2 linked regions of the Stegostoma tigrinum genome follow. The protein of the gene in region 1 interacts with the protein of each later gene in a biochemical or structural test. Links are inferred from orthologs where the notes say so. Each region holds a gene or a part of one and is shown in the gene's direction. Other genes may lie near its edges.

Region 1 (10,606 bases):
GAGTCGTACCTGAGGACTGGAGAGAGGCAAATGTAATTCCTCTCTTCAAGAAAGGAAATAGGGAAATCCCCAGCAATTACAGACCAGTAAGTCTCACGTCTGTCGTCTGCAAGGTGTTAGAAAGGATTCTGAGGGATAGGATTTATGACCATCTGGAAGAGCATGGCTTGATCAAATGCAGCCAACACGGCTTTGTGAGGGGTAGGTCATGCCTTACAAACCTTATCGAGTTCTTTGAGGATGTGACTAGAAAAATTGATGAGGGTCGAGCTGTGGATGTGGTGTATATGGACTTCAGTAAGGCATTTGATAAGGTTCCCCATGGTAGGCTCATTCAGAAGGTCAGGAGGAATGGGATACAGGGGAACTTAGCTGTCTGGATACAGGATTGGCTGGCCAACAGAAGGCAGCGAGTGGTAGTAGAAGGAAAATATTCTGCCTGGAAGTCAGTGGTGAGTGGTATTCCACAGGGCTCTGTCCTTGGGCCTCTACTGTTTGTAATTTTTATTAATGACTTGGATGAGGGGATTGAAGGATGGGTCAGCATCTTTGCAGACGACACAAAGGTTGGAGGTGTTGTTGACAGTACAGAGGGCTGTTGTAGGCTGCAGCGGGACATTGACAGGATGCAGAGATGGGCTGAGAGGTGGCAGATGGAGTTCAACCTGGATAAATGCGAGGTGATGCATTTTGGAAGGTCGAATTTGAAAGCTGAGTACAAGATTAAGGATAGGATTCTTGGCAATGTGGAGGAACAGAGGGATCTTGGTGTGCAGATACATAGATCCCTTAAAATGGCCACCCAAGTGGACAGGGTTGTTAAGAAAGCATATGGTGTTTTGGCTTTCATTAACAAGGGGATTGAGTTTAAGAGTCGTGAGATCTTGTTGCAGCTCTATAAAACTTTGGTTAGACCGCACTTGGAATACTGCGTCCAGTTCTGGTCGCCCTATTATAGGGAAGATGTGGATGCTTTGGAGAGGGTTCAGAGGAGGTTTACCAGGATGCTGCCTGGACTGGAGGGCTTATCTTATGAAGGGAGGTTGACTGACCTCGGACTTTTTTCATTGGAGAAAAGGAGGAGGAGAGGGGACCTAATTGAGGTATACAAGATAATGAGAGGCACAGATAGAGTTGATAGCCAGAAACTATTTCCCAGGGCAGAAATGGCTAACACGCGGGGTCATAGTTTTAAGCTGGTTGGAGGAAAGTATAGAGGGGATGTCAGAGGCGGGTTCTTTACACAAAGAGTTGTGAGAGCATGGAATGCGTTGCCAGCAGCAGTTGTGGAAGCAAGGTCATTGGGGTCATTTAAGAGACTGCTGGACATGCATATGGTCACAGAAATTTGAGGGTGCATACATGAGGATCAATGGTCGGCACAACATCGTGGGCTGAAGGGCCTGTTCTGTGCTGTACTGTTCTATGTTCTAACTACCAAAGCATCCACCTTTATAGCCACCTTCTTCAACACTCTCGGATATAGTCCATCCAATCCAGGAGATTTATCAGTCTTTGATTCATTAATGTTTTCTGTTTAACCACTTTATTAATACTAATTTCTTTATTTGCATAAGTCTCCCAGTCCTCAATTTTCTAAGAGATTTTTTGTACTTTCCTCAAAAAGGACAGATGAAAAATACTTGTTCATTTTCTTTCCCATTTCCCCATTCTCTATCTTAAATTCTACAGTCTCTGCTGATTTTGCTTAATTAGCTCATACTTGCTCAAGTAATTTTGCCCTGAATTATATTTACTGAAAGTTTCCTCATCACTGAGGATCGTTAGTTTCCTCATCATTCTCAGTGAACCAGTCCTAGTGTTTATTGGTTGACAGGCCCAGTATCTCTGTGCAAATGGAGACTATGGTGGCTTTTAGGGTGGGCCAAGTGCTGACGGCACACTGCAGCTGTGGCATGTGGTTGTGTCAAGGTGGCTGTGAGGTGATGCCTGACTAGATCTTTCTTCCCAGTAACACTAAATCTCCTGCGGCAGAGTTTTTTCTGCTTATGCTGGTTTGGGGCCAGGTTTCAGAGATGGTAGAGTGGATTAGTTGTGGTCAACTCAGCAGTCATTGGCTCCAGTAATGCATGGATGATGCAGACATCCTTGTGGTCCTTGGATGAACAATGATGCAGCCTTTTAGGCGTCAGTGTTGGAGCGGGGTTCTTGCCAATGAGGTCCCGTGCTTGTCCCTCTAGTAGAACAGAGCGCTCTGATACTAACTTCTGCCATTGAGGGGCAGTATGAAGTTGACACTGGCGTATGCATAAACTCAGAGGCCAAGCCATAAACCATCATCGAGGCATTCACTAAAGCAATAGGAGAAAATGGGCCTCGGACTAAACATCTAAAAATAAAGGTTCTTTACCAGTCCTCTCCTGTCATACAACCCCGTTCCCCACTACCATCACAGTCCATGGTGAGCCCCTGGACATGTGAATCATTTTCATACCTCAGGAGCCTGCTCTCAGTACAAGCAGATATTGATGATGAAATGCTACATCAACTCCAACCTCCAGTAGTCTTTGGATGCCTGAGGAATAGTGTGTTCAAAATTTAAGGCCTCAAACTCAGCACCAATCCCACGGTCATCAGAGCAGCCTTGGTTCCCCACTCTCTTGTATTCATCGGATATATGGATTATATATGGCAGAGACCTCAAATCCCCAGAGATTACCAGCACTACCTTCACAATATCCTGAAAATCCACCAGTAGGATTAGCATACCAATAGGAGCATCCTTTCCCAGGCTGATATCCCTTGTAACGAGGCATTGGTCATGCATAACTAGGTGCAAGGTGCGACCATTGTCCACATGCCCAACTCAAGATTCCCTAAACAAGCGCTCTGTTTCAACTTCTAAACTGTAGGTGATCACTAGGAGTACAAAGGGAATGATGCCCTCTCTAAACAAATACCACACCCCACTGAAAGGTGGGAATTGCTTGTCTTAAAATGCAGAAACCAGAGATGAAGTATCTGCAAAGATATCAGGTGTGAAACATGTCACCAAGTGGACCATATGGAGACCAAAATAAGCAGCAGAAAGAGCACATGGAATCCAGGGCATTCTCACCCAACTGTTTATCAAACACAGCCCCACCTGTGGCACAGTCTGCAGCTCCAGGATTGGGCTATTCAGCCACGACTGAACCCAAGTCAACACACTGTGGAGCTGGAGCAACACAGATCAGGCAGCGTCAGAGGAGCAGGAAAGTCAATGTTTTGGGTTTACATCAGGAACACTTGCTGTGTTCTTCTGGTTTTACACTGTATTGATTCTGACTTCAGCATCTACAGTTCTTGCTGTCTTCTAGTTGCTGAAAACGCTGATGCAAAGCGTCTTTCATGAATACTCACCTTGAAGTTGTCCTTCTCCCTCTGAAAAGATCTCAGTGGATCTCTCTCCTACTGCAAACCCCTGGTGATCTTCTCTGTTCTGAAGTTCTTCAACCACATTCTGAAACAAATCCATTACTACAGCCATGTCTCCTTTCTCAGTACCTGCCTACATAGCCGGCTCATGCCCCTTTGACTTCAAACAATGTGCAGATCATCCCAATTTGGATCAAACCATGACAATCGTTATCTACAGTACATCCTGATCTGCTAGAAACAGTTTTCTTTGCGGATCCTCAGCTCCACGTTTGCAGCTTTGTGCTGGCAACTTCTCTCACTACAGTCAGCCCTACCCTAGCTCATAGCTTCTCTTTCTCAGGTCTGCAAAGGACATCTACTGTTTTTAATTCTACGCAGGATCAGTACCCTCAACAAACGCTTTTTCTCCACCCTATTGGCAGGATGACAGTTGGAGATGAAGAAGTCGAGGAAGGGTAGGAGGCCATGGAGTGGTGTCCAGGAGGATGGAGTTTGTCGGAGACAAGTATATCAAACCTGCTCACGCTTAGCTCCAAACACAGACCTCTCCACTACCCTAGACCCCAACCCTATCCACGACCTCATCCTAAATTCAACTGGCGCCAATAACCACACGGTCGCCTCAGTTGCTCCCGCTGACGCCACTGACGTCACTTCTGCCAACGCTGACAATGTTGCTTCTGCCGATGCTGACTATGTCACTTCTGCTACTGCCGCTGACTACATTGCTACTTCTGCCTCTGCCCACGAGTTCCCATATATGCAACCATTCCCAAGACAGACTCCACCCCAACTTCCAGCTTCAGCTCTAGACCTAACCCCAGTCCCAAGCCCTGCAAGGTATTCATCATCACCCGAGACCTCCCCCTCACTGAGGGCGAACAGTCAGTCCTCAACAAAGAACTCACCTTCATCCCCTTGTACCCACACATCATCAAATTCCATACAGATCTAGTGTTGAGCTATTTTTCCACCACCGCCACACCTGTTTTTTTTTGATCAGGAGTCTTAGTCACTCTCTGAAGACCTCTTCTCCTGCCTCTGAAAAACTCCATCCGCCTGGACACCACCCCATGGCCTCCTACCCTCCCTCGATCTCTTCATCTCTAACGATCATCATGACTTCAATCGCCTGAATCTCTCCACCCCTCTCACTCACTCGAACCTCTCCGCAAGCGGAAGAGACAGCCCTCCGCTCCAACCCCAACGTCACCATCAAACATGCTGATAAGGGGGATGGGAGTTCGCGGTGGTGGTATGGTGTACTAACCTCTACATCGTGGAAACCGGGCACCAACTCTCCAACACCCCTTACCGTCCACTCCGCCCTTGATCACCATCTTCCAGGCCATCAATAACCTCATCACCTGGGGAGACTTCCCGCCCACAGCCTCCAGCATCATCGTTCCCTAGACCCGCACCGCCCGTTTCTATCTTCTGAGTCCTGATGAAGGGTGTGAACCCGACACGTCGCCTTTCCTGCTCCTTCGATGCTGTCTGATCCGCTGTACACTGTATTGACTCACGCTAAATTGCCTGTAGTTTCAGGGATGTGTAGATTAGGTAGGTTATAGGGACATAGGTCTAGGTGGTATGCTGCGAGGATCGGTGTGGACTTGTTAGGCCGAAGGGCCTGTTTTCACACTGTAGGGATTCTATGGCTAATGATGATGATGACTCCAGCATCTGCAGTTCTTGATATCTTCCTCTTTATTTTGGCTGCCGGCCTGTTCTCAGGCTCTCTCCTCTTTACCAATTCCTCACACACTGGTTCTTGGATAACGCAGCTCTGAATAAGAGTACAGAAAACTATCGAGGAGATATATATTCAGTACTTACACACAAGATCACACCAAAACACGACCGTACTCCGAATGCTCCCGCTACCGCTTCTTCTAGCGCACGGAGAACAGTCGGCGCAAGGTCCTCCTTATGGGGCCTTTTGGGACATGTAGTTCTCCGCGGCATCAGAGCAGAAAGGAGAAGCAGTGAAGGTGTCTTGGAAACTACAAATCCCGGCCTGCACCACGCAGTAGCCGTTTGCAATCTGCGACTCGCGCTGCAGCTCAACATTTAGCACGCGAAGCGCTGAAAGGATGGAAACCGCAAAGAGGCAGTGCCTGAGCATGAGAAGGCGGGACCTGATTCAGATGACGCTGTGCGTTAGTCGCCGTGATGACGTAGCAGTGCGTTCACGCATTGACTAGTTGGTAGCCGGCAGCTCAGGAGAAAGAGGAGGCGGAGGTTAGCGGGGTTAGAGGGTAGGGGTCCTAGCCAGGCCTAGGCTTCTTTTTAATTTGTTAACTGTCAGTCCTGGCTGTAGATCAGCGGGAATCATCCTTGACCTGGGCCGTGGTGGTGGGCGGGGCGGGGAGGGGTGGAGGAGAGGTGGGGAGAGAGAGGTAAAGGGCCAGAGGACTAAACTAAACCATATTACCGGACGGGGGAAAGAAATCCGCTGTCGAAGCGAGAGAGAAAGTGAAGATGTTGAACATGTGGAAAATGCGCGAGCTGGTGGACAAGGCGTAAGTACGACGATGAAGCGTGCGGTTGAAGTGATCAGAAAGACGGTGTTAGGGGGGAGGGGGGATACGATGGGAAGAACAGGTTGGAGGCCGCTCAGAGGCGACACGTCAGTGGGTGCGCGACGCCAGACCAAAGGCGCCGCTGGGACACAGTCATGGCCTCTCTTCCTCCAAGCGCCGGGGCCTCTCCTTCTCCCCCCTACCTCCTCTTCCCCCTGTTCATTCGACTTGACCCACTTTGGGTGACCTGGAGCGACGGTGGATTCTTATTCCGCGCATACGCCTCTCCTGAACTCTGTCAGTCGAGCCCGGGCTCATCTGAGGTTCGAACCTCCCATTTCTAGAGACTTCTGCAGGCTGGCACTCTAATACTCGGAGGGAGTGCCTTTGACACTTTAGGCCAGACATTGACATCGATATTTGTCTTGGGTTGGGTGGAAGCCTTTTACAGGGCTTCAGGAGTGTTCCGTCATGTCATCCTCGTCAATATTCATCCATCAGCTGACATCACCAAATGACAGACTATCTGGTCATCTTTGTCATTGGGTTTTCTTGGTGAATTTTTGCTATGTGTAAATTGACAGCCCATTTGATCTTGTAATAAACAAATGATGACACCTCAAAAGCAGTTTATTGGTGCTGACCTGGTCTTGGGATGCCCCGTCTGCAAATTATTTTATTCTTGATTAGGTCATTATTTAATGATGTTGAGTTATGTTTGCTGGGTCTTTAAAGGGTATTCTTTCCTGGGGGGAATTTCTTTGAACGCTGTTATCCACTTATAACAATGCTCACTTGTTTGCAATAAGTGAACTTCAAAGCTTGCTTTCATTACTTGCCGTTTCTTAAATTTTAATCCAATTTTGTATGATGTGTTCCAAGATTGTATCCAATACTTGCTGAACGCTCAATCCAGTGACTTAGTTTGTAGGTTGTTGGTACAGCCCTGGTTTTGTGCCAGGCAGTATAGGTGAAAAGTTTGTCTGAGTTGTAGAATGATAATGCTTTGTCATTGCTTTTATACTGACATCTTATTTTAACTTAGTTTTGAAGATTCCACATATGTTTGTGGAAGCATTGCTGTCAATGCTTCCAGCCATAAACGTTGCTTGATAATATAATTGAATTTTGCAACAGTACAAAATCCACGCCCTTCTCATTTAAGCACTTACTGTATGCACGTTTGCTGTCACACTTCCTATGTTGCATAATCCCTACACTTTTTAAAAAAAACATCATTGGCTGCAAATACTTTTGACACACCTGGTAGTAATAGAAGTTGCAATGCACTTTTTGATTTGTTCGTAGGTTGTGGGCATTCTTTGCTTGATCAGCATTTATTGCGCATCCCTAATTGTCATGGAGATGGTGGCGGTCACCTGCTGCCTTGAATTACAGCAAGCCAAGTGGTATAGGTGCACCCACAGAGCTGTTGGGAAGGAATACAAAGATTTGATGGAATAGCCAGGAATGAACAGTGATATAGTTCCATGACATACGTGCCAGACTCTTTCTAGAATTTAGTTCTTACTTTATAGTCAGATTTAAAGTTTTATTGTCTAAAGCAGCATTTTTGTGCCTAAAGCCTCTCGAATTCCCCAGAATGACAGCGAGGAGTTGGACCTCATAACTGTCATGAATTTTTCCTGAGGCTGGACAGTCTGCTGACCATGGTACCAGGAAGTTTTGTTTTTGGGAATTAATGTTAAAATTTACAGGCACTTTCCCTGTTTTCTTTGTATATTGGTGCTTAGGGTTGCAGCATGACTAGTTTTGGATTATAAAACACTCCAGACTGCTTAAAACGTGTTTTAAAACGTAAACAAACACATGATTTTATATTTGTAAACATTAAAATTGGTAGTCTTCATCCATTTTGAATAAGATTGAGCACGTCTTAAGGATGGGATTTAGTTTTAAGGCAATTTTTTGAAAATGCATTTTATAAACGTATATCTTAGTGAATTTTGAGTTCTTACCTAATTTAAATGGGCATACAAAGCAACATTTTCATTCAAATGCTTTTGATAGGCACTTACTGAGAAAATATGAAGAATCGTACTTGTTGGTAACATTTGAAACTGTAACATTGCACTTTCATGTGTTTTATAACGCAACCTTGACATTAGAAAATAATTGAAAGACTTGAAGTAACTTTCAGAAAGCAACAGACTGTCAACATTAGTTTACATACTTTACATGTATTTGTTTAGATTGCTCGTGATAATGTAATTGCTGAGAAAGAAATACCAGCAAAATAGTCAGGCTTTGTCAGGGACATAAACTTGATGATCGCTGTCTCTTTCTTTTCCTTTTTCTTTATTTCATCCTCCCTTCTAGTTGCTGAGTTAAGACTGGGCATAGTACAGCCAAAAGCCTTGTTGGATTTTGCTTAGAAAGACATTCTTCATTGATGTACAAGCTATTTGACTCTTAAAAATGACATAGCTTTAAGGGTGATCAACTTGTTCCACAGGAGAGGCTACCACATTCCAGCAGCCACCATTCTCATGCGAACACACTTGCACAATTACCTACAATTATGCGGATCAATCATGGATCACTTTTCAAATACTCACCCCTCTGATGGGTGTAGTTTATAAAGTGGAGATTTTTCACTAGAAGAGAGCAAAAATAAAGTAGCCAAAAATTAGTAACGACTGACTAACTGTTTTAAATGATGGAGTTATTTTCTTACCGAGTTGTTTCTGCTTCACATTGTCAAACGGAGTTCAAGAGGATGAAAAAAGCAAAATTGTGACCTTTTCATATTTAGATATAGTAGTTTTTTTTTCTTGTTTTCTCCCCCCCCCCCCCCCCCCCCCCCCCCCCGCCCCCCAAAAAGTAAATCATTTGTTTTGACGAGAGAGCAACCGAGTGATACATATCAGGAAACTCTAATCTCTGGATTAATGGCTATGCTAACTGAGCTCATCTCTGCTAAGGCAACAGTGGCTCGCTGCTGCTTAGTTTGGAAAGAGATAAATGACCAGGGATATGGTTGTCATATGGAGTTGTTGATGGAAGTTTGTTTGCGCTATGCAGGCCCTGAAGTCACTTAACTTGATGGTGACGGTGTAATTTGTTTGTAAGTGATAAATGGGAAGTTGTATCTCAATAAAGAGTTGGCTTTGGGAGTGAAGGACAGTGGAAAGTTAATTGCGATGGGTTCACAGTGCTTTTTTTTAGAAGAAAAACTTTAATGTTGGCATGTTTTGCATTGCCTTGAATTGTTATTTCGTACAGCTTGAATAAATCCATGTTTGCTGTTGTCTTGCAATAAATTGAAGCATTCTTGTTACAAGTTTACACTTACTACAGTAAGATCATATTGCTAAGCTTTGATTTGCTATAGATGGATTAAAGGTTTACAGCACCGAAAGAGGCCCTTGATGGCCCAACATGTTAGTGCTGGTTATTGAGGGCCTATCTAGTCTAACCCTGTGTTCCATTACTTGACCTGTAACTTACATGCTGTGACGTTTTAAGTGTTTACCTGCATACTTCAGCGACAAGAGGGCCCCTGCTCCTGCCGCTTCTTAAGGCAGTGTATTCCAGATACTTCCAACACTTTTGGCGGGGAAAAAAAATCGTCCAGTCACCTCTAAATTTCCTGCCACTTACCTTCAATTTATGCCCCGGTTAATCGACCACACTACTACTGTACCAATGTCTCCCAAATTTTGTACATTTCTAAGGAAAACAGCCCCAGCCTATCTAGTGATAATGGGAACTGTAGATGCTGTAGAAACCAAGATAACAAAGTGTGGAGCTGGATGAACACAGCAGGCCAAGCAGCATCAGAGGAGCACAAAAGCTGACGTTTTGGGCCTAGACCCTTCATCGGAGAGGGAACTGGAATAAATAGGGAGAGAGGGGGAGGCGGACCGAAGATGGGGAGAAAAGAAGATAAGTGGAGAGGAGAGTATAGGTGAGGAGGTAGGGAGGGGATAGGTCAGTCCAGGGAAGATGGGCAGTTCAAGGAGGCGGGATGAGGTGGTAGGTAGGAAATGGAGGTGTGGCTTGAGGTGGGAGGAAGGGATGGGTGAGAGGAAGAACAGGTTAGGGAAGCAGAGACAGGCTGGCTGGTTTTGGGATGCATTGGGTGGAGGGGAAGAACTGGGCTGGTTTTGGGATGCGGTGGGGGAAGGGGAGATTTTGAAGCTTGTGATGTCCACATTGATACCATTGGGCTGCAGGGTTCCCAAGCGGAATATGAGTTGCTCTCCATCTTTGGTCCGCCTCCCCCTCTCTCTCCCTATTTATTCCAGTTCCCTCTCCCCAACCCCCTCTCTGATGAAGGGTCTAAGCCCGAAACGTCAGCTTTTTTGCTCCTGAGATGCTGCTTGGCCTGTTGTGTTCATCCAGCTCCACGCTTTGTTATCCCAGCCTATCTAGTCTTTTTTTGTAGCTGAAATGTTCCAGCCCAGGAAAATCTAGTGAGTCTTTGTTTACCCCTCTACTAAACCTTTCACTGTACTCCTGTTGTCACTTGTACTAGAGAACAGGAAAATAAAATCTAAATCTAGTGCAGTCACAACTTTCCTGTAGTGAGGCGATCAGAACTGCATGTTGTGTACTCCAGCTGCAGCTTTACTAATTTGTATACAGCTCCATCATAACCGTCATACTACCTCGGATTGTACGATGCATTGTGTATTTCTTAATCTTGTTAGTCCTTCCAAATTGCAGCACTTCAC
Region 2 (10,602 bases), on another chromosome or scaffold:
TTGGATCGAATCTTGGATCAAGTAGGAATCTTTCAAGTAACTCTCAGCCTTCTACTTTCATTCCTAATATTTTAACCTGCTTTTCCCCAACACTTGCAACTTCACCACAAAGAATGATTTGTCAATTCTCATTGGTACTTTTACATCTGCAAGTTATTACCTTAAAGTTTTCACCATCTTAAAGAATAAAGAATGCACTCAAATTCTGTAGCCTATCCTGATCTTACATTCCTGATGACCACAGCCTTTCAAAGCTCTTTGCTTACCTTTCACTGGCTGAATGGTTGCTAATAGAAGAGAATTTTTTCTCGAAGTCCTGAATATCTGCAGGGGTGAGGCTCCCCAAACGGACCCCTGCCACTCGCAACAGCGGTGAGTGAAACTGTGTTTTCTCGAAGACGTACAAGAGCCGGTAGATAAGGAACCATGCCTCCCAACTCATATTCACAAAAGGATAGGCTGCAAGGAAGGCCTTATAAAGACGCTTCCAAGAGGACTCTGGGAGATGTATTGCATAGTCATCCTCCTCTTGCAGTCGAGCAAACAGTTTGTCCAATTTGACTTTTATGTACGGAACAGCTATTACCACCAGCAGGGATCTCCAGTGCTGGGTTCTTGGGAGCCCAAGACTGGCTAATCTCCATAGTCCGTGACCACTACCCAATGGAATTCTTTTCAGACCGTAAAAGTTCTCAGAGAAGGAAGCACTGGTCCTGGACAGATAGTGATGCTCAAGCAGGAGGTCTAGCAGCACGTAGATTTCATCGAACCATCGCCATAGAAACCCATAGCGACTGGGGTTGGATTCCGCAAGCACCTAGAACAGAAACATATGCTCTGTCAAAACATTGTGCCTTGTGCCAGGATGTCAGTCAGTAGACTGACTGTCAGAAGTTAGTATTGCTCATTTCCACATAGGTATCTTAGCATCCTTAAAAAGTAATATGAAAGATCACGGAAATGAGATTGGAGGAAAGCCAATATAGACCAGTTAACCTGGATTTTTGTGCATTTTTAAATTCTATTAACATTAAGCACCCCTTTATTATTTGCCGTCACACTATGGCTTTTAATCCCCTCCTCTTCAGGAACACCCAGTTATCTATGGAACACATTGACTTCAATTTTATTCCCTGATATCTTACTCTACAGTTATATTTACGTCTTTTAGAAATATGTTCTTCCCTATTCCACTTCTCAGTGCTGACTTGCAAACGTACTAACTTATGTTCCCTTTCCCCAGTGGACAATTTGTTTGTCTCTGTATATATATATATTTTACAAAAAATATAATGGTGCACATTGTTAGAATTCAGTAACATTCAGGGTCTTAAAAAACACCACACACCTTGCATAATTTCAAATGAAATATCACTAAATGCTTTTCACAAAGAGCTCACTGGTTTGCATTTTGCTAATCCTGTCTAGATTACAGTACAAATTTAACCCTGTGTGAAAACGCGACTGTGCATACAGTGAATGGGGTATCCTGGCTTCTAGCATCAACTGTCGCATTCTTAGAGACATACAGCATGGAAACACGACCCTTCCATCCAACCAGTCCACGCCGAACATAATCCCAAACTAACCTAGTTCCATCTGCCTGCTCCTGGCCTATATTCCTCCAAATCTTTCCTGTTCAGGTATTTATCTGAGTGTCTTTTAAATGGTGTGACTGTGTTCACATCCAACACTTCCTCAGGAAGTTCCTTCCACATGCAAGCCATCTTCTGAAGTAAAAAAAATGTCACCCCGTGTATTTATTAAAATCTCTCTCCTCTCACCTTAAGATATGCCCCATTATCTTGACAACGCCCATCCTAGGGAAAAGACACCTACCATTCATAATCAAAACCTAACACTGTCCCTTACCTCAGCACTGAACACGTACAAGAATCAGGTGAAAACAGAACCAATTGGTGTGTAATACTCCCTAATGAAATGAAAAGTCCTCAAATGTTCAGATATGTTAAGGGCAGCTAAAGAAAGTGTTTGAATCCATGATTTCCAAAGCAGGATACCACTGGAGTTTTACTTCAACCATTTCTGGGCATGTTGCAGATTTGTTCATCGGGATTCGTTGCTAAGATCAGTCAACTTCATTATTGCGACAATAGTGTTAAATGGGCCATATTTCTATTTTGACTCCTGAATGGTGTGTTCGTCTAATGATTATGTGCACAACTGGAACCTATGGGATTATATTGAAGAGTAATCTCTTTTTTTTATTTCCATGACTCAATATAGACTCGCATTGCTGAGATCACAACCATGCAAAAACTATCAACTGAAGTTCAGGTTAAGCTCGAGTACAGCATCTTCATTTCAATTCCATTAAAACATACTTGGTCCCTGTGGGATTAATTTAAAAAGAATCCAGAGAATAAACATACATGGTTCACTCAATTCTGATTCGACAAGTGGCTTGATGTTCAATTTACACTTCCTTCATTTCCCTCTATCAGAGATAGTAGGAACTGCCGATGCTGGAGAATCTGAGATAACAAGGTGTGGAGCTGGATGAACACAGCAGGTCAAGCAGCAGCAGCAGGAAGGCTGACGTTTCAGGTCCGGATCCTTCTTCAGAAATGATCCAGAAAGGGTCTAAACTGGAAACATCAGCCTTCCAGCTCCTCTGACGCTGCTTGATCTGCTGTGTTCATCCAGCTCTACAGCTTACTGCCTCCCTCTGTACCACATTGGTCAACACAGCTGGAGAATCCAGTAGCTTAAAAGTACTGTCAGAATCAGAGAACATGTGAGAGATAATGGGAACTGCAGATGCTGGAGAATTCCAAGATAATAAAATGTGAGGCTAGATGAACTCTGAGGCTCTGATGAAGGGTCTAGGCCCGAAACGTCAGCTTTTGTGCTCCTGAGATGCTGCTTGGCCTGCTGTGTTCATCCAGCCTCACATTTTATCATCAGAGAACATGTGAAGCAGGTTTACACCATAATTCCTAACTGTGAATCAAGGGTGAATTTGCACTTGCAACAACATGTGGAAGACTGACAAATAATGCTTTTGTCTTTAACATTGTGGTTCTAGTCAAGAAAGAAAAGGTCGTTATTTTTCGGAAATGAGTTGAAGAGTGAGTCACCTCTGGGTCATCTTCGACCGAAGTACCTGACTCTGGGCCTCCATCCGGAGGCGCTTTCGGCCTTAGGCCAGCCTGCAGCCCTTGCTCCTAACCCCCTGGGACAGCGGCAGCTGCGCCTCCGATTCCAATCCGCGGAGGCGGCAAGGACCCTCTGCCTACCCTTCCTCCTGGGGAGGGCACGGTACGAGCCTCACCTTGCAAGCATGTTGCGCGGCGGGTCTGACCGCCGACATCAACGTGTCCTGAGCAACCACCTCAAAGATGGACGGCCGGCCCGGGCTGACAGCCAGGCCGCCCGTTAAGTGAGCACCGCGCTCCGCCATGGCCGCACCGTCTCCTGGGGCAACCGGCGGATGACCCCACCCACCGCGTGATCCGAGACGGAATAGGGCCTGCCCACCACGGCGCCCCGCCTATCCGCTCGCCGCGCCCTCGGAGGCAACCCCGCCCACTGAGAGGACACCGCCACGGCGATGCTCCGCCCACTGGGTCGCCGCGCAACCCCAATGCACGCGCCCGACAGTGCTGCCGCGCCCACTCAAAGGCACGGAGCTGCTCTACTCCGCCCATTGACGTTCCGCGCCCGTAGTGAAGCCCCGCCCACCTAGTCGTCCCACGATAGCACGTGGTCACTGCAGTTTAAGGAAGTGCAGAGACAGTGGGACTCGGTGAACTTCAGGTAGTGCAAAGGTGGGAGGTCGAGAGTGTACCTGACTCCCTACGGCTTGCTGTTCTACACTACCTAAGTCCCTACTTGTAATTGTGTAAGATCTGCCCTTGTTTGTTTTACCAAAATGCAATACCTCACATTTATCCACATTAAACTTCATCCGCCACTCCTCAGCCTGCTGACCCAAAAGATAATTTGTAATCTTAGATAACCTTCTTCACTGTCTACAGTACCATCAATTTTAGTGTCATCTGTGAACTTAATTACCATTTAATCATTTAAATAAATGACAAACGAAAGTGGACCGAGCACCGATTCCTGTGGAACACCACAGGTAATGGACACGAAAACAAAGTTGCTGGAAAAGCTCAGCAGCTCTGGCAGCATTTGTGAAGAAAAAGAACAGAGTTAATGTTTCGGGTCTGGTAACCCTTCTTCAGAACTGGTAAAGTGCAAAGAGTCTGATAAATAACTCTCCGCCACCACTCTGTGCCTCCTGCCAGTTTTACATCTAATTGGCAAGCTTTCTCTGAATCCCATGTGATCTCACTTTACTAATTAGCCGATGATGCAGAAACTTGTCAAAGGCTTTTCTAATGTCCGAGTAAACAACATCTACTGCTCTGCCCTCATCAACCTTCTTGGTTACTTCCTCAAAAAAACTCAATCAAGTTTGTGAGACGTGATTTCCCTCGCACAAAACCCATGCTGACTATCCCTAATCATTCCTTGCCTCTCTGCATGCACGTAAATTTTCTTTCAGAATCACCTCCAACAACTTACCCACCACTGAAGTCAAAATCAAAGGTCAATAGTTCCCGAGCTTCTTCATACATTCCCTTTTAAACAAAGGCACATTAGCCACTCTCCAATCATCCAGCACTTCACCCCATAGTTATAGATGACACAAATATTTCCGCAAGGGGCTCCTCAATTTCCTCCCTAACTTTTTACAACATCATGGGATACATTGGAACAGATCTTGAAAATTTATCCACCCTTTATATTTTCTGAGGCCTCCAGCACTTCGTTTTTGTAATGTGAACTGTTTTCAAAACATCAATATTCATTTCCTTTCTTTCATTTCTTTCTCCACTGACACAAAACATTCATTTAATATCTCTCCTATCTCCTGAGATTTAACACAAAAATGACCTCTGATCTTTAAGTGTCCCTACTGTCTCTCTATAGCTCAGGTAAATACAATTCAGAACCAGACAGAATACAGAATGTTCAGAACTGACAATGCAAAACCAAACATGAGGAGCAACAAAGGATTATGAGAAAATATTTGCAGGTAATATAAAAATAATTATTAAAATCTTCTACAAATACATCAATAGTAAAAGGGTTGTAAAAAGGGGAGTAGGACCAACTAAGGATAAAAAAAGAGTTGACACTTAAGAGACATTAGGCATGGCTGGAGCGAATAATGAATGAATACTTTGCATCTGTATTTACCAGGGAGGCAGATACTGCCCAGGCCACGGTGACAGAAGAGGGAACTCAGTCACTCAAAGGGTTTGAAATTAGTGAGGTGGTATTGGATAAGCTATTACTACTTAGACGTGATTAGGCCTTGGGATATTGAGGGAATGGAGAGTGGAGATTGCAGAGGCGCTTTCAATGATCTTTCAGTCTTTCCTACATTCAGTGACGGTGTATGGTTGGAGAGTTGAAAACTTCATGCCTTTGTTGAACATTGTTGTTTAAGTCAGTCCACTGATTACAGAACACTCCATTTAACTCTAGTGATGAAGAAACATGTAGAAGCAATTATTTGGCATAGAACGACTCACCACAATGAAAATGTGCATTGGTTTGGAGGACTCAATATGGATTTATTAAAGGACAATCTTGCCAAAGTTACTTGCTGGAGTTATTTGAAGAGGTATCAGAGAGGATTGATGATGGGAAAATTGTTGTGGTATGCACAGACTTCCAAAAGGCATTTGATACAACACCAAGCAACAGTTCTGTGAGGAAAGATACAGAACAAGGGAAAAAAAAGTCAGTAGCAACATGAATACAAAATTGTCTGTAGAATAGGAAACAAAGAATTTTGGTTAATCGGTATTTTTCAGGCTGGAAGGTGGTTTGTAGTGGACTTCTTCGTGGATTGTTATTAGAACCCTTGCTTTTCCTGATCCATATCAACGATCCAGATCTTGATGTGCAGGGGACAATTTGAAAGTGTCGTGGATGACTGAAAATTTGGAAGAATTGTAAACCACAAGGAGGTCAGTGTAGAACTTCAAAAGAACATAGATAAACCAATGGATTGCGTGGATAGGTAGCAGAAAGTTCAATGCAGAGAAGTGAGAAGTAATGCGCCTTGGTACAAAGAACACTGTTCTAAAGGGAGCACAGGAACAGAGAAACCTGGACGTTATGTATGTAAGCCGTATCTGGTAGGACAGGTGTAGAGAGCTTTTAATAAAACTTACATTACTTTCGGCTGAATTAATAGGGGTATAGAGTACAGGAACAAGACGATAATGAAGAACTTGTGTGAGACATTGGTTATAGCTTAGTCGGAGTGTCTTTGATTAAAACGAATGAAGAATGTCAATCCTTTAGTGGAGAAAAGGTTTACGAGAACATTTCAATTGATGGGATACTTCCGTTATGAGGAAGGGGGGGAGTGAAGGGTCACCCGGGGGAGGGGGAAGCGGTGATGGTTCACCCCGGGGGGGAGAGGAGGGACCACCCCCGGGGAGAGGGCGGAGGAACTGAGGGGTCGAGACACAATCTCTGTCTGTCTTCAGGCTCCTTCCTCCTGCTCTGTCCGTTCCTCCCCCTGTTCCCCCGCCCACATCCGGCCCGGCCTCCCCGGGACGGTTTTTCCGGGTACACAGTGCCTCTCCCACTCTGGGTGGTTCCATCTCTGCTCTCTCCATTTCCCCGGCTTCATCTCGGGAATCTCACAGGTCGGTCTTTTCACCCGTAAACCTCTCTCTCTGTGTCTGCAGCTCCCGTCTTCAGGCCTCGCTCTTCACAGACTGTGCCCACTGCCTTCACCCTCATCCCGCCTCCTGACCATCCCCGGTCCCGGCCATCGCCCAATCGCTTCAGACCCGCTCTCTTCCCCCACCCCCCGACTCCGCACCCCAACTCCCCTCCCACTCCAAGCCCCCGACTATCTCCACCCCCCCCCACCCCCCCCCCCACCTCCCCCCCACTCCCCCCCCCACCCCCCCACCCCCCCCCCACCCCACCCCCCCCCACCCCCCCCACCCCCCCCCCACCCCCCACTCCCCCCCCCACCACTCCCCCCGCCACTCCCCCCCCCACACCCCCTGCCACTCCCCCCCCACACCCCCTGCCACTCCCCCCCCACACCCCCCTGCCACTCCCCCCCACACCCCCCCCCACACCCCCGCCACTCCCCCCCCACACCCCCCCCCACACCCCCCCCCACACCCCCCCCACACCCCCCGCCACTCCCCCCCGCCACACCCCCCCACACCCCCCGCCACTCCCCCCCCACACCCCCCGCCACTCCCCCCCCACACCCCCGCCACTCCCCCCCCACACCCCCCCCACACCCCCGCCACTCCCCCCCCACACCCCCGCCACTCCCCCCCCCCACACCCCTGCCACTCCCCCCCCCACACCCCCCGCCACTCCCCCCCCGCCACACCCCCCGCCACTCCCCCCCCACACCCCCCGCCACTCCCCCCCCACACCCCCGCCACCCCCACACTACCACCCCACTCCCCCACACTACCCCCCCACTCCCCCACACTACCCCCCCACCCACCCGCCACTCCCCACAACCCCACCCACCCCCCCCACTCCCCCCACCCCCCACTCCCCCCACCCCCACCCACCCCCCACTCCCCACACCCACACCCACCCCCCACTCCCCACACCCACACCCCCCCCCCCACTCCCCACACCCACACCCCCACCCACACCCCCACTCCCCACACCCCCACCCACCCCCCACACCCCCACCCACACCCCAGCCATTCCCTGCCACTCCCCACCCACCTCCCACCACTCCACCCCCCACTGCCCCGCCATGCCACTCCCCAACAACCCCCCTGCCCCGCTATGCCACTCCCCAACAACACCCCCACCCCCCCGCCACGCCACTCCCCCACCCACCCGCCACGCCACTCCCCACCCACCCGCCACGCCACTCCCCACCCACCCCCCGCCACGCCACTCCCCACCCACCCCCCCGCCACTCCCCACCCACCCCCCCGCCACGCCGCTCCCCCCGCCACTCCCCACCCGCTCCCCCCGCCCCCCCCCACCCGCCCCCCCCCGCCACGCCACTCCCCACCCGCCCACCCCGCCACGCCACTCCCCACCCGCCCACCCCGCCACGCCACTCCCCACCCGCCCACCCCGCCACGCCACTCCCCACCCGCCCACCCCGCCACGCCACTCCCCACCCACCCCCCCGCCACGCCACTCCCCACCCACGACCCCTGCCCCCCCACTCCCCCGTCGCGCCCCCCCCCCACTCCCCCGTCGCGCCCCCCCCCACTCCCCCGTCGCGCGCGCCCCCCACTCCCCCGTCGCGCCGCCCCCCACTCCCCCGTCGCGCCGCCCCCCACTCCCCCGTCGCGCCGCCCCCCACTCCCCCGTCGCGCCGCCCCCCACTCCCCCGTCGCGCCGCCCCCCACTCCCCCGTCGCGCCGCCCCCCACTCCCCCGTCGCCCCCCCCACTCCCCCGTCGCCCCGCCACGCCACTCCCCACCCCCCCACCCCCCCCCACTCCCCCCCCACTCCCCCCCCTCCCCCCCCACTCCCCCGCCACCCCCCCCCACTCCCCCGCCACGCCACTCCCCACCCACCCACCACCACGCCCCCGCCACCCACCCCCACTCCCCCCCCCCACCCACCCCCACTCCCCCCCCACCCCCACCCACCCACCCCCACTCCCCCCCCCACCCACCCACCCCCACTCCCCCCCCCACCCACCCACCCCCACTCCCCCCGCCACTCCCCACCCCCACTCCCCCCGCCACTCCCCACCCCCACTCCCCCCCGCCACTCCCCACCCACCCACCCCCACTCCCCACCCACCCACCCCCACTCCCCACCCACCCACCCCCACTCCCCCGCCACCCACCCCCACTCCCCCGCCACCCACCCCCACTCCCCCGCCACCCACCCCCACTCCCCCGCCACTCCCCACCCACCCAGCCACCCCCCACTCCCCACCCCACCCACCCCCCACTCCCCCGCCACTCCCCACCCACCCACCCACCCCCCACTCCCCACCCACCCACCCCCCCACTCCCCACTCCCCCCCCACTCCCCACCCACCCACCCACCCACCCACCCCCCCACCCCCCCACCCACCCCCCCACCCCCCCACTCCCCACTCCCCCCGCCACTCCCCACCCACCCACCCCCACTCCCCCGCCACGCCACTCCCCACCCACCCCCACTCCCCCGCCACGCCACTCCCCCACCCACCCACCCCCACTCCCCCGCCACACCACTCCCACTCCCCCGCCACTCCCCACCCACCCACCGCCACTCCCCCCCCACTCCCCCCCCCACCCACCCCCACTCCCCCCCCACCCACCCCCACTCCCCCGCCACGCCCCCCCCCACCCACCCCCCACTCCCCCGCCACGCCACTCCCCACCCACCCACCCCAACTCCCCCCGCCACGCCACTCCCCACCCACCCCCACCCACCTGCCACCCACCCCCACTCCCCCGCCACGCCACTCCCCACCCACCCACCCCCGCTCCCCCGCCATGCCACTCCCCACCCAAGCCCCCACTCCCCCGCCACACCACTCCCCACCCACCCCCCCCACTCCCCTGCCACGCCACTCCCCACCCACCCCCCCCACTCCCCTGCCACGCCACTCACCGCCCACCCTCCCCCACTCCCCACCCACCCTCCCACACTCCCCACCCACCCTCCCCCACTCCCCACCCACCCTCCCCCACTCCCCACACTCCCCACCCACCCTCCCCCACTCCCCACCCACCCTCCCCCACTCCCCACACTCCCCACCCACCCTCCCCCACTCCCCACACTCCCCACCCACCCTCCCCACCCTCCCCACACTCCCCACCCAACCCCCCCAACACTCCCCACCCACCCCCCCCACCCCCCCCACTCCCCTGCCAAGCCATACCCCACCCACCCCCCCACTCCCCTGCCACGCCACTCCCCACCCCCCTGCCACGCCACTCCCCACCCCCCCACTCCCCCGCCACGCCACTCCCCACCCACCCCCCCACTCCCCCGCCACGCCACTCCCCACCCACCCCCCCACTCCCCCGCCACGCCACTCCCCACCCACCCCCCCACTCCCCCACTCACCCCCCCACTCACTCCCCCACTCACCCCCCCACTCACCCCCCCACTCACCCCCCCACTCACCCCCCCACTCACCCCCCCACTCACCCCCCCACTCACCCCCCCACTCACCCCCCCACTCACCCCCCCACTCCCCCACTCACCCCCCCACTCACCCCCCCACTCCCCCACTCCCCTGCCACGCTACTCCCCACCCACCCCCCCCACTCCCCTGCCACGCCACTCCCCACCCCCCCCCCACTCCCCTGCCACGCCACTCCCCACCCACCCCCCCCACTCCCCTGCCACGCCACTCCCCACCCACCCCCCCCACTCCCCTGCCACGCCACTCCCCACCCACCCCCCCCACTCCCCTGCCACGCCACTCCCCTGCCACGCCACTCCCCACCCACGCCACTCCCCACCCACCCCCCACTCCCCCGCCACGCCACTCCCCACCCACCCCCCCCCACTCCCCCGCCACGCCACTCCCCACCCACTCCCCCCACTGCCCACCCCACTCCCCCCCACCCCACTCCCCCCACCCCA

Evidence for each region. The genes of interacting proteins can lie anywhere in the genome.
Region 2: the proteins of clint1a (region 1) and ap2b1 form a complex in vitro, tested with the Homo sapiens proteins (2 studies listed by BioGRID and IntAct, with this or other methods). The link is inferred for Stegostoma tigrinum from reciprocal best matches to the Homo sapiens genes CLINT1 and AP2B1.

The regions. Positions count from the first base shown.
Region 1 is NC_081366.1:70,228,115-70,238,720, forward strand, and holds the start of clint1a (clathrin interactor 1a), read left to right. Parts: upstream 1-5,566; 5' UTR 5,567-5,865; coding exon 5,866-5,906; exon of another isoform or gene 5,907-6,069; intron 6,070-10,606. UniProt on the Homo sapiens protein: Binds to membranes enriched in phosphatidylinositol 4,5-bisphosphate (PtdIns(4,5)P2). May have a role in transport via clathrin-coated vesicles from the trans-Golgi network to endosomes. Stimulates clathrin assembly.
Region 2 is NC_081380.1:7,249,216-7,259,817, forward strand, and holds the start of ap2b1 (AP-2 complex subunit beta), read left to right. Parts: upstream 1-6,595; 5' UTR 6,596-6,701; intron 6,702-10,602. Other genes in the region: pex12 (peroxisome assembly protein 12), read right to left, coding at 267-817, 3,296-3,424. UniProt on the Homo sapiens protein: Component of the adaptor protein complex 2 (AP-2). Adaptor protein complexes function in protein transport via transport vesicles in different membrane traffic pathways.